Linked DNA regions of Saccharomyces cerevisiae S288C. The gene in region 2 interacts genetically with the main gene of each other region. Each region holds a gene or a part of one and is shown on either strand. Other genes may lie near its edges.

Evidence for each region. A genetic interaction does not mean that the proteins touch.
Region 1: mutations in REH1 (region 2) and YPR1 together harm fitness more than expected from each alone (negative genetic interaction), as found in Saccharomyces cerevisiae (2 studies listed by BioGRID).

Annotation. Positions count from the first base shown.
Region 1 is NC_001136.10:1,212,063-1,216,554, reverse strand, and holds YPR1 (trifunctional aldehyde reductase/carbonyl reductase (NADPH)/glucose 1-dehydrogenase (NADP(+)) YPR1), read right to left. Parts: upstream 2,652-4,492; coding exon 1,713-2,651; downstream 1-1,712. Other genes in the region: XRS2 (Xrs2p), read left to right, coding at 1-1,539; KEI1 (Kei1p), read right to left, coding at 2,941-3,576, 3,678-3,707; MOR1 (Mor1p), read left to right, coding at 3,719-4,117. UniProt on the Saccharomyces cerevisiae protein: Aldehyde reductase with broad substrate specificity, catalyzing the NADPH-dependent reduction of aldehydes into the corresponding alcohols.
Region 2 is NC_001144.5:895,874-899,516, forward strand, and holds REH1 (Reh1p), read right to left. Parts: upstream 1,800-3,643; coding exon 501-1,799; downstream 1-500. Other genes in the region: VAC14 (Vac14p), read left to right, coding at 1-397; 40S ribosomal protein uS14 RPS29A, read left to right, coding at 2,778-2,948. UniProt on the Saccharomyces cerevisiae protein: Pre-60S-associated cytoplasmic factor involved in the cytoplasmic maturation of the 60S subunit.

The DNA of each region.
Region 1 (4,492 bases), on a different chromosome or scaffold from region 2:
GCACCTGAAGTTGAAGCTAGTCCAGTAGTCTCGAAGAAGCGAAAATTAAATAGACGTAGAGTACTACCACTCGATAGTCTTGATTTTTTTGCTGGAGGTTTGAGTACTAAGACTCTATCAGAAAATAGGTCTTTAACTGACGCTAAGAGACTTAATTGTGGCGCAGAATCAAAGACTGTCATTTCAAGTCCCAACATTGCAGAGGCAGATGAAAAGCACGCCCCATTTCTTCAAAACGCACTAAAGCCGACTGAAGATATTGGAAAGAAAAGTGGTCACAGTAGCCCTGGTGCTATAATTGTCAGTAGCCCCAACTTAGGTACTGTGAACACGAGTGAGGATTCGTTGGATAAGTCGCTACAGTCACATAAGTTACCACAGCCGTCATTGCCGGAGGTAGCAGGGATTGGCTCTCAAACCATATCTTCGAACTCCGCTGACTATGAAACAGCTGCTGTGAATTCGATGGATGATGCTGAAGTTACTAAGAATTTTAGGGTGAATCATCACCAGAATATAGAGCAACCCTCTAAAAACATCCGTAAACTTTCTAATTATTCACGAGAAATTTCATCTCCATTACAAGAAAATTGTAAGTCACCTGTAAAAGAGTTATCTATTAAAGAGAAATCTGGTACGCCGCACGCATTTGTTGAAGCTATTCAAGAAACTAAAAATAGAGAGGTCAAAAGAGTTAAGTCAACCATTGTTGAATTGAAGGATGAGGAGTTGAGCGAGGAAGCTATTAATCAGCTAAAAAATTTGGCTATTGTAGAACCTAGTAACAATTTACTGAGGAAATCATTTGATAGTGAGGGAAACAAAACAAGCAGAACAACTGAAAAATGGGAAAATAGCCTAATGGAGCCAGAATGGCATAAACGCAAGAATTTCAAGACTTTTGTCAAGGTACGTCCAAAATCAAAGGCGCACAAAGAAGAGGGTAAAAATAACACTCAAAGCTCAGATTTTATACGAAATGCAGCCTTTTTAATCACTAGAAATTATGTTCCGTTAAAAAAATACTCCAAAAAGGATACAACTACAAAATGGGGCACAGAAGAAAACGAAGATATGTTTGCTTTGACGGAGATGGAAAGATTTGGATCGAATACATTTATGTCCGATAATATAAACTCAAACACTATCCAGAAAAGATCTCAAGCTCTAAACAGATTCACGAATGAGGATAGTTCAAATGAAGGAGAAGAAGATTCGTTTTCTTTTTCTCGTTGTTCAGGTACTGCAGCCAGCGTTCAACCACTAAAAAACAAAATTTTTATTACTGATGAAGATGATCTGGGTGATATTGATGATAAAAGCGATAGACTAAATCACAGAGAAAATAATCGTAATCTTTTTGTGGTGAAGGAAATGAACTTACGGCCAAACTTGTCAGAAGAATGTTCCAAGCAAAGTAGACACAGTAGAAGCGCAACTAGTAGATCACGTGGCTCTTTTGGGGCTTCTAATAACGGTGATGGCGACGACGACGATGACGACGGTCCGAAGTTTACGTTCAAAAGAAGAAAAGGATAATGATAAATTTTCCGAGTATTTCCAATTTCATTAAATTATATTTTGCATTATCATTCGATATATGTGTATATATTATATGAAAATTAGTAAAATCAATGTTTGTTTCAGCTGTATCGGATCGGTTTAAAGAAGCACTACAGGTTGCTGGAGGCATTAACTGTAATGTAGCGCGCTCATTGGAAAATTGGGAAGGATCCCCACTTCATATCAACGACTCTCTTTGTACCATGCACTTTGGATAGGTTACTAATAGTCTTGAAATCATCCTCAGGCAGAGTGAAAATCTTAAAATTGGATACAATTCTTTCAGGATTAACCGATTTGGCCAGAACAACGTAGCCTCTTTGAATACTCCAACTGATAATAAGCTGTGCTGGCTCAACGCCGTGCTTTTTAGCCATATCAATAATTGCTTGCTCTTTTAGTAAAGGAGCATTAGCACTCCCAAATGGTGAGTAGGCTTCAACAACAATACCCTTTTCCTTACAAAAGGCAATCAATTCGTCTTGTGGTAGCAATGGATGAATTTCAATTTGATTAGTAGCTGGTACCACCTTGTTATTTGGAGATTCTAATAATTCTTTAATGTTGTTAATAGAAAAATTAGAGACACCAACGGCTTTAGTTTTGCCCGTCTTTGGCAACTCTTGCATCAACTCCCACGTCTTGATAAAATTCCATTCCTTAGTATCGATGTCAACAGTGCCATCTTCTAATGTTGGAATGCACAGAACGTTACCATCAGTAACTCTGTCGGTTTTCAAAGGCACTGGCCAATGCATCAGATATAGGTCAACATAATCCAAGCCTAGTCTTTTCAAAGACTTGTTTAGAGCAGCTTCCGGATCACGTTGTTCCGTACCCCAAAGCTTAGTAGTAATAAAAATTTCCTCACGAGGGACTCCGGAATCTTTAATAGCCCTGCCAACTTCTTCTTCATTCAAATAGATAGCCGCAGCATCAATGTGTCTGTATCCAGCTTTCAAAGCTGCAATTACAGAATGGTAACCGTTATTGTCAACGGAACGCCAAGTGCCGAAACCCAACACTGGAATGGAGGCACCAGTATTTAGTTTTAATGTAGCAGAAGAATTCTTTAACGTAGCAGGCATGGTAGATTATTATCTGTGGGTATATTTGCGACCTGATTATATTGCAAAGTTACTTTATTATCACTTTAGAAAAGAAAAGGGTTTCACGGAATTGAATTGCAACCAAATAGGGAATTGCGTGCTATATAGTTTCCTTTTTCCTTTTTTTTCAAAATTACGTAAGAGCTACTTAAATACACACGTGATGAAAAGTGACAATAGCATCAGTGAGAATGATTTTATGATGTCAGAATAGAAACATTTCTTCATCAGTGTAAAACGCTATAACGCTAGGGCTTTATTTTACTATTTACTCTAACAAATTCTTACATAGCTTATAACAACCTTTTTGGCTCTTAGCCCACAGTCTTTTCCAAATAGGCTTGTTTTTCAAGTTTTGTTCTACGTCATCCCTATCAACTAAATATTTGGGGTGGTGTAACAATTCTTGAACAAAAGATGCCAAAATGAAGTTAAAGTAGAACCTGAATATCAATGACACCAACGTAATTAAAATAGTCATGGTATATTCGTAGCTTTCAGTTGCACTTTGTTTACTTATATCAATACCACGTTCTGTCAGCTTACCTGTCGATATTGGGTTACTTTGTAGTGCATTATTTCCATCAATATTAGCAGTGTCTTCCAAGGTGAACCATTGCGTGGTAAACCATAGAGTAAAAAAACAAGTGGAAATGGTATCGATTGTATAAAGTACGCAGATTTGCGAAAATACCAGCAAGTTTGGCTTATGAATCAAATACAGCCCTTGTGAGAATACGATTAATGTAAATACCGACCAAAGATATGCTATCCATTGCATAAAATCCAACGGATGACCCGTGAACAATGCTAAAATACCATAAGCACCACTGCATTTGTTTAGAATGGAAATACCTAAGACAATCTCAACTGCAAGGTATAGCGGCATAAACCCCAAAAAAGACTATGAAAAAAAAATATGTTTGAGAACAGGTTAGTAAAATTGTGCTTTGCTTCGAATCCTTACAAGTTAACAAAAATTTATAGCGTTTGCCGGAAACATACTTTTGGAAGGGTTAGAAGAGATGATCTCATAACTAAGGTTAATGGTTACAATTGGTAGTTCCTCCCTGGTATTATTTCTTTTCTTCGTAGTTTTTGTACAGATCACTTATACAGCTTTACACAGATTTTCCCGCTTGTTGTGCACTTTTTTTTCGAAGATTATTGAAGAGGGATGCGTTTGGTACAATAAAAAACATAGGTTCCCAAACCTATATAAATATATATATGTATATGTATATATACTACATATATGCTTTGAGAAATATGTGAATGTTGAGATAATTGTTGGGATTCCATTGTTGATAAAGGCTATAATATTAGGTATACAGAATATACTAGAAGTTCTCCTCAAGGATTTAGGAATCCATAAAAGGGAATCTGCAATTCTACACAATTCTATAAATATTATTATCATCATTTTATATGTTTATATTCATTGATCCTATTACATTATCAATCCTTGCGTTTCAGCTTCCACTAATTTAGATGACTATTTCTCATCATTTGCGTCATCTTCTAACACCGTATATGATAATATACTAGTAATGTAAATACTAGTTAGTAGATGATAGTTGATTTCTATTCCAACATACCACCCATAATGTAATAGATCTAATGAATCCATTTGTTAGTTAATAGTTTAAATGTTTTTATCGGAAGAGGTTTTGTCATCACATCAGCAATGTTCTTCTTGGTCTCGATGTAGTATACGTATAAATTATTACCTGATACTTCATCTCTAAGTCTCATTGCCTTTGTGCCAAAAAATCTGTTTCTAAATTTCTCTTCATTTGTAGACTTAATTATACTGATCG
Region 2 (3,643 bases):
ATGGACATCCCAATCTTATGTCATGAACAACTATATAAGACAAAGGGAGAATAGTAACTTTTGTGATTCCAATTCTGATATCTCGCAAAGGTCCGTTAGCCAAAGTAAACTACATTTCCAGGAACTAATTAATCATTTTAAGGCCGTTTCAGAAGAAGATGAATATTCATCAGATATGATAAGGCTTGACCATGGTGCTAACAATAAATCACTTCTGCTTGGAAGTTTTTTGGACGGTATTGACGAAGATAAACAAGAAATTGTCACACCAATCTCGCCCATGAATGAAGCTATTAACGAGGAGATGGAATCTCCCAACGATAATAGTTCTGTCATATTAAAAGATAGTGGCAGTCTGCCATTCAACCGCAATGTATCCGATAAATTAAAAAAATAACTACCCATTACCTGATTGAAAGCATCTTTGGTTAAGAAATGGACCTGACATGCTACATAAATAGATACGTAAACAGATATTTAACCGAGACACATAAGATGACCTATTGCAACAACTCATCCCTGTAATGTGTTTGAAAGTTAACCCTTTTAATTTCGCGACGGATCTGCGTATTAATGGCATTTTTCTCCAATTGTTGCATTTTCTTCATACCCTTCTTATATTGCTTCTCGGTAACACCACTGACCATCCTTCTATCAGCAGCTGTAATCGTTCTTCTGCTTTCGTTAGGGTTTGGCTGCGAAGGTAAATTTTGTCTATAGTACCTCTGGCCCGCACGATGACCTAGCCTAGCGCCTGTTGGCAAGGTAAGTTCTAAACCAGATTCATCAATAGATACGGTGGTATAGTTTGCATTAATGTCATTTTCGGATGAGACCAACGTGATATCTACCTCCCCATCTTCTTCATCATTTTTGGCCCCATAGACAGATGAAAGCTTGGAAGTAATTGCTCTGTCATTCTGAAGATTTTTGCTAATAGAGTGATCATCGTAAGTAAAATCGTAAAATGGGGCGAAAAGCTGACGCTCCTCCTTTGTTTCATATGGCAGCCTGCAATGACGCTTAGAAGCCATATGCGCTCTTATACTTTCCAAACCGGAGCCATGAAAGTTACAACACAGACAGTTATGATCAATAACAATCATTTTTATTAAAAACTCTAGTAAACCGTTTAGATCAATCAAATATGACCTTTCAGGTATGAAAAGACCATGCTCGCTAAACATATGTTTGACATTTCTTTCCACTTCTTTATTGTCTTTCCCGCAATATATACATTCCGTGATGGTAATCTTTTCATTTTCTTTATCACTTGGCTTATCCGCTATATCTAGTTCCTCATCACTAGTAGCATACTCATAATTAGAGTCACTAGTGAAACCGTATTCAGAGACAGTATCTTCACCATAATCTGTATTCGTGTTTTCTGTTCCTACTGTCAAATTAGATAATTGTGAAGATATTGATCCAGAAGGGGACACCGATCTATTCTGTTTTTCTTTAGCAATATCCCTGTCTTTCCTCTTCAATAAGTTCGTACCAACTTTTCTTCCTCTCTTTGACTTGATCGGTTTCTTCTGTTTCTGAGGCAAAGCGTTACTTTGGTTCATAACAGGCTTTAGAACAGGGAAACCAAACTCATCAACCTGATTTTCAGCTTGTTCCTTTTCTGAAATTTGCAATTTCTCAGCAAACTGTTCCGCACCAATTGGCGGCAGGTTGGCAATTCTTCTCTTTAAGTTGTACCTGTGCCATTCGGTCTTCATGTGATATCTTTGCAAATCACTAGTCTTGAACTGAATAACACAACAGTTGCATGTAAAGAAAGTAGAGCTCATCTTTCAAAATGTAAATTCTGCTGTTTTTAAGCTGCTATAACCCAATAATGATAAGGTGATTGTAAGATGAATTGTACAACTGTGTTGCCACCGTCTTGTGACTATTGCATATGACTAAGTCGTTTTATTCTCTTTCGTGAGTGGCAATTTTGAAGAAACGACCCAAAAAAAAAGGACAGAATTCTACAACACCTGTACCTCCAAAAAACCCATTTCTTTTCTGTTTTTACTGAATTGTAATTCGCGCTTGTCTATTCGTCATTCTGAAAAATTTCACGCAAAACAACTGATGACAGATCTTGACCATAGCATAGCATGAAGGTGCAGGAACATGAGGCAGGAGCACCCTACGGGGCACCGCGAAAATAGCTGTGTGAAAGTGCTATGCGATACACATATAATTAATGGTTATTAGATGCGCGCATTTAACATTTTCCCTAACTCAAGTAATAGCTGAAATACCACGAACAAAAGTGTAAATTAGGGTATGTACCAAGTTCTATTCGAATTTAAAGGTTATGAGGTACAGGAAGGCTGAAAAATGAAAACTTCGAGATGAAATAATCCACGTCGAAAGTAATGCTGAAAACACAAGTAGCTCTGGATTCAAATCATAAGGACGTACAGAAGTGTTGCTGACAAATCGCTTCTTTTTGATATTAGAATTTCATTCAATGAACAACGGATTGAAGAATTGTCGTGTCGACAGGATTGTACATTTTACCAGGACTGAGGAATGAATTCAACGGCTTTGCCGAACAAATCACGGCATAACCTGCAGAATAACATAACAACATAGCGCTTATTATCATTGCGTATGCTGGCTGAAACGAACCTTTCACTGAATCAGCTCATATCGCATGGACGGAATAACAGGTATAAAAAATCCACGAGTTATCAACCTCATTCTCTTTAAAATTGGAATCCAATCAACCGAATTCATTTGTACTAACAACGTTTCCTATTATTGCAGATAAAATGGCTCACGAAAACGTCTGGTTCTCTCACCCAAGAAGATACGGTAAAGGCTCCCGTCAATGTCGTGTTTGTTCTTCCCACACCGGTTTGATCAGAAAGTACGGCTTAAACATCTGTCGTCAATGTTTCAGAGAAAAAGCTAACGACATTGGTTTCAACAAATTCAGATAAGCCATCATAAATAAACAATGACGAATATATAAATACTATATGTATACATATATCAAACTGCCTTTGTACTTTTTATGGTCCTATTGCTCCCCGAATCTTTAGATCCTATATGTGCTCTTGAGTATCGTTGGAGGATTCGTCAACTCGAGGTACGAGATATGCTTTGTCTCTTCCTTGTATTCGCTTGCTGATATTCCGTACCCTAGATTTCTTACTTTCGAAATACATTACCCGGATCAATTCCATTATTTTCGCCTTTCAAAAAATTTCCCGGTTGTATAAAAAGGCAGGACTTCGACAGTCAACAACAATTTTGAGTATATTTACCACATTTTTTCTGATTTTTTTTTAAGAGGGTGAATCAAAAATTTATTTTTTACACGGAAACGATGCCACAGTTGACTGAACCTGTCTTCTAACAGTAGTTAATTGCCAGTATTTCAAACAAGATTTGAAATACGAGTTTCCCAGAATAATTTATTTGGACAGGATAGGAAGTCCGATTTCTGTGTTGTCTCAAACGAGGCGATAGAATTGGGATGTCGAAGAAAGTCTACATTACTCATATATTTACGTACTGTCTCTTGCAGGTAAAAAGTCTTGAAGATCAGTTTCAATATTGAAACTAACAAATTTAGTTAGTTTCTGTACTTAGTCCGAGGTATGTATGCTAAGATTAGAGGATGGTAAAAAAA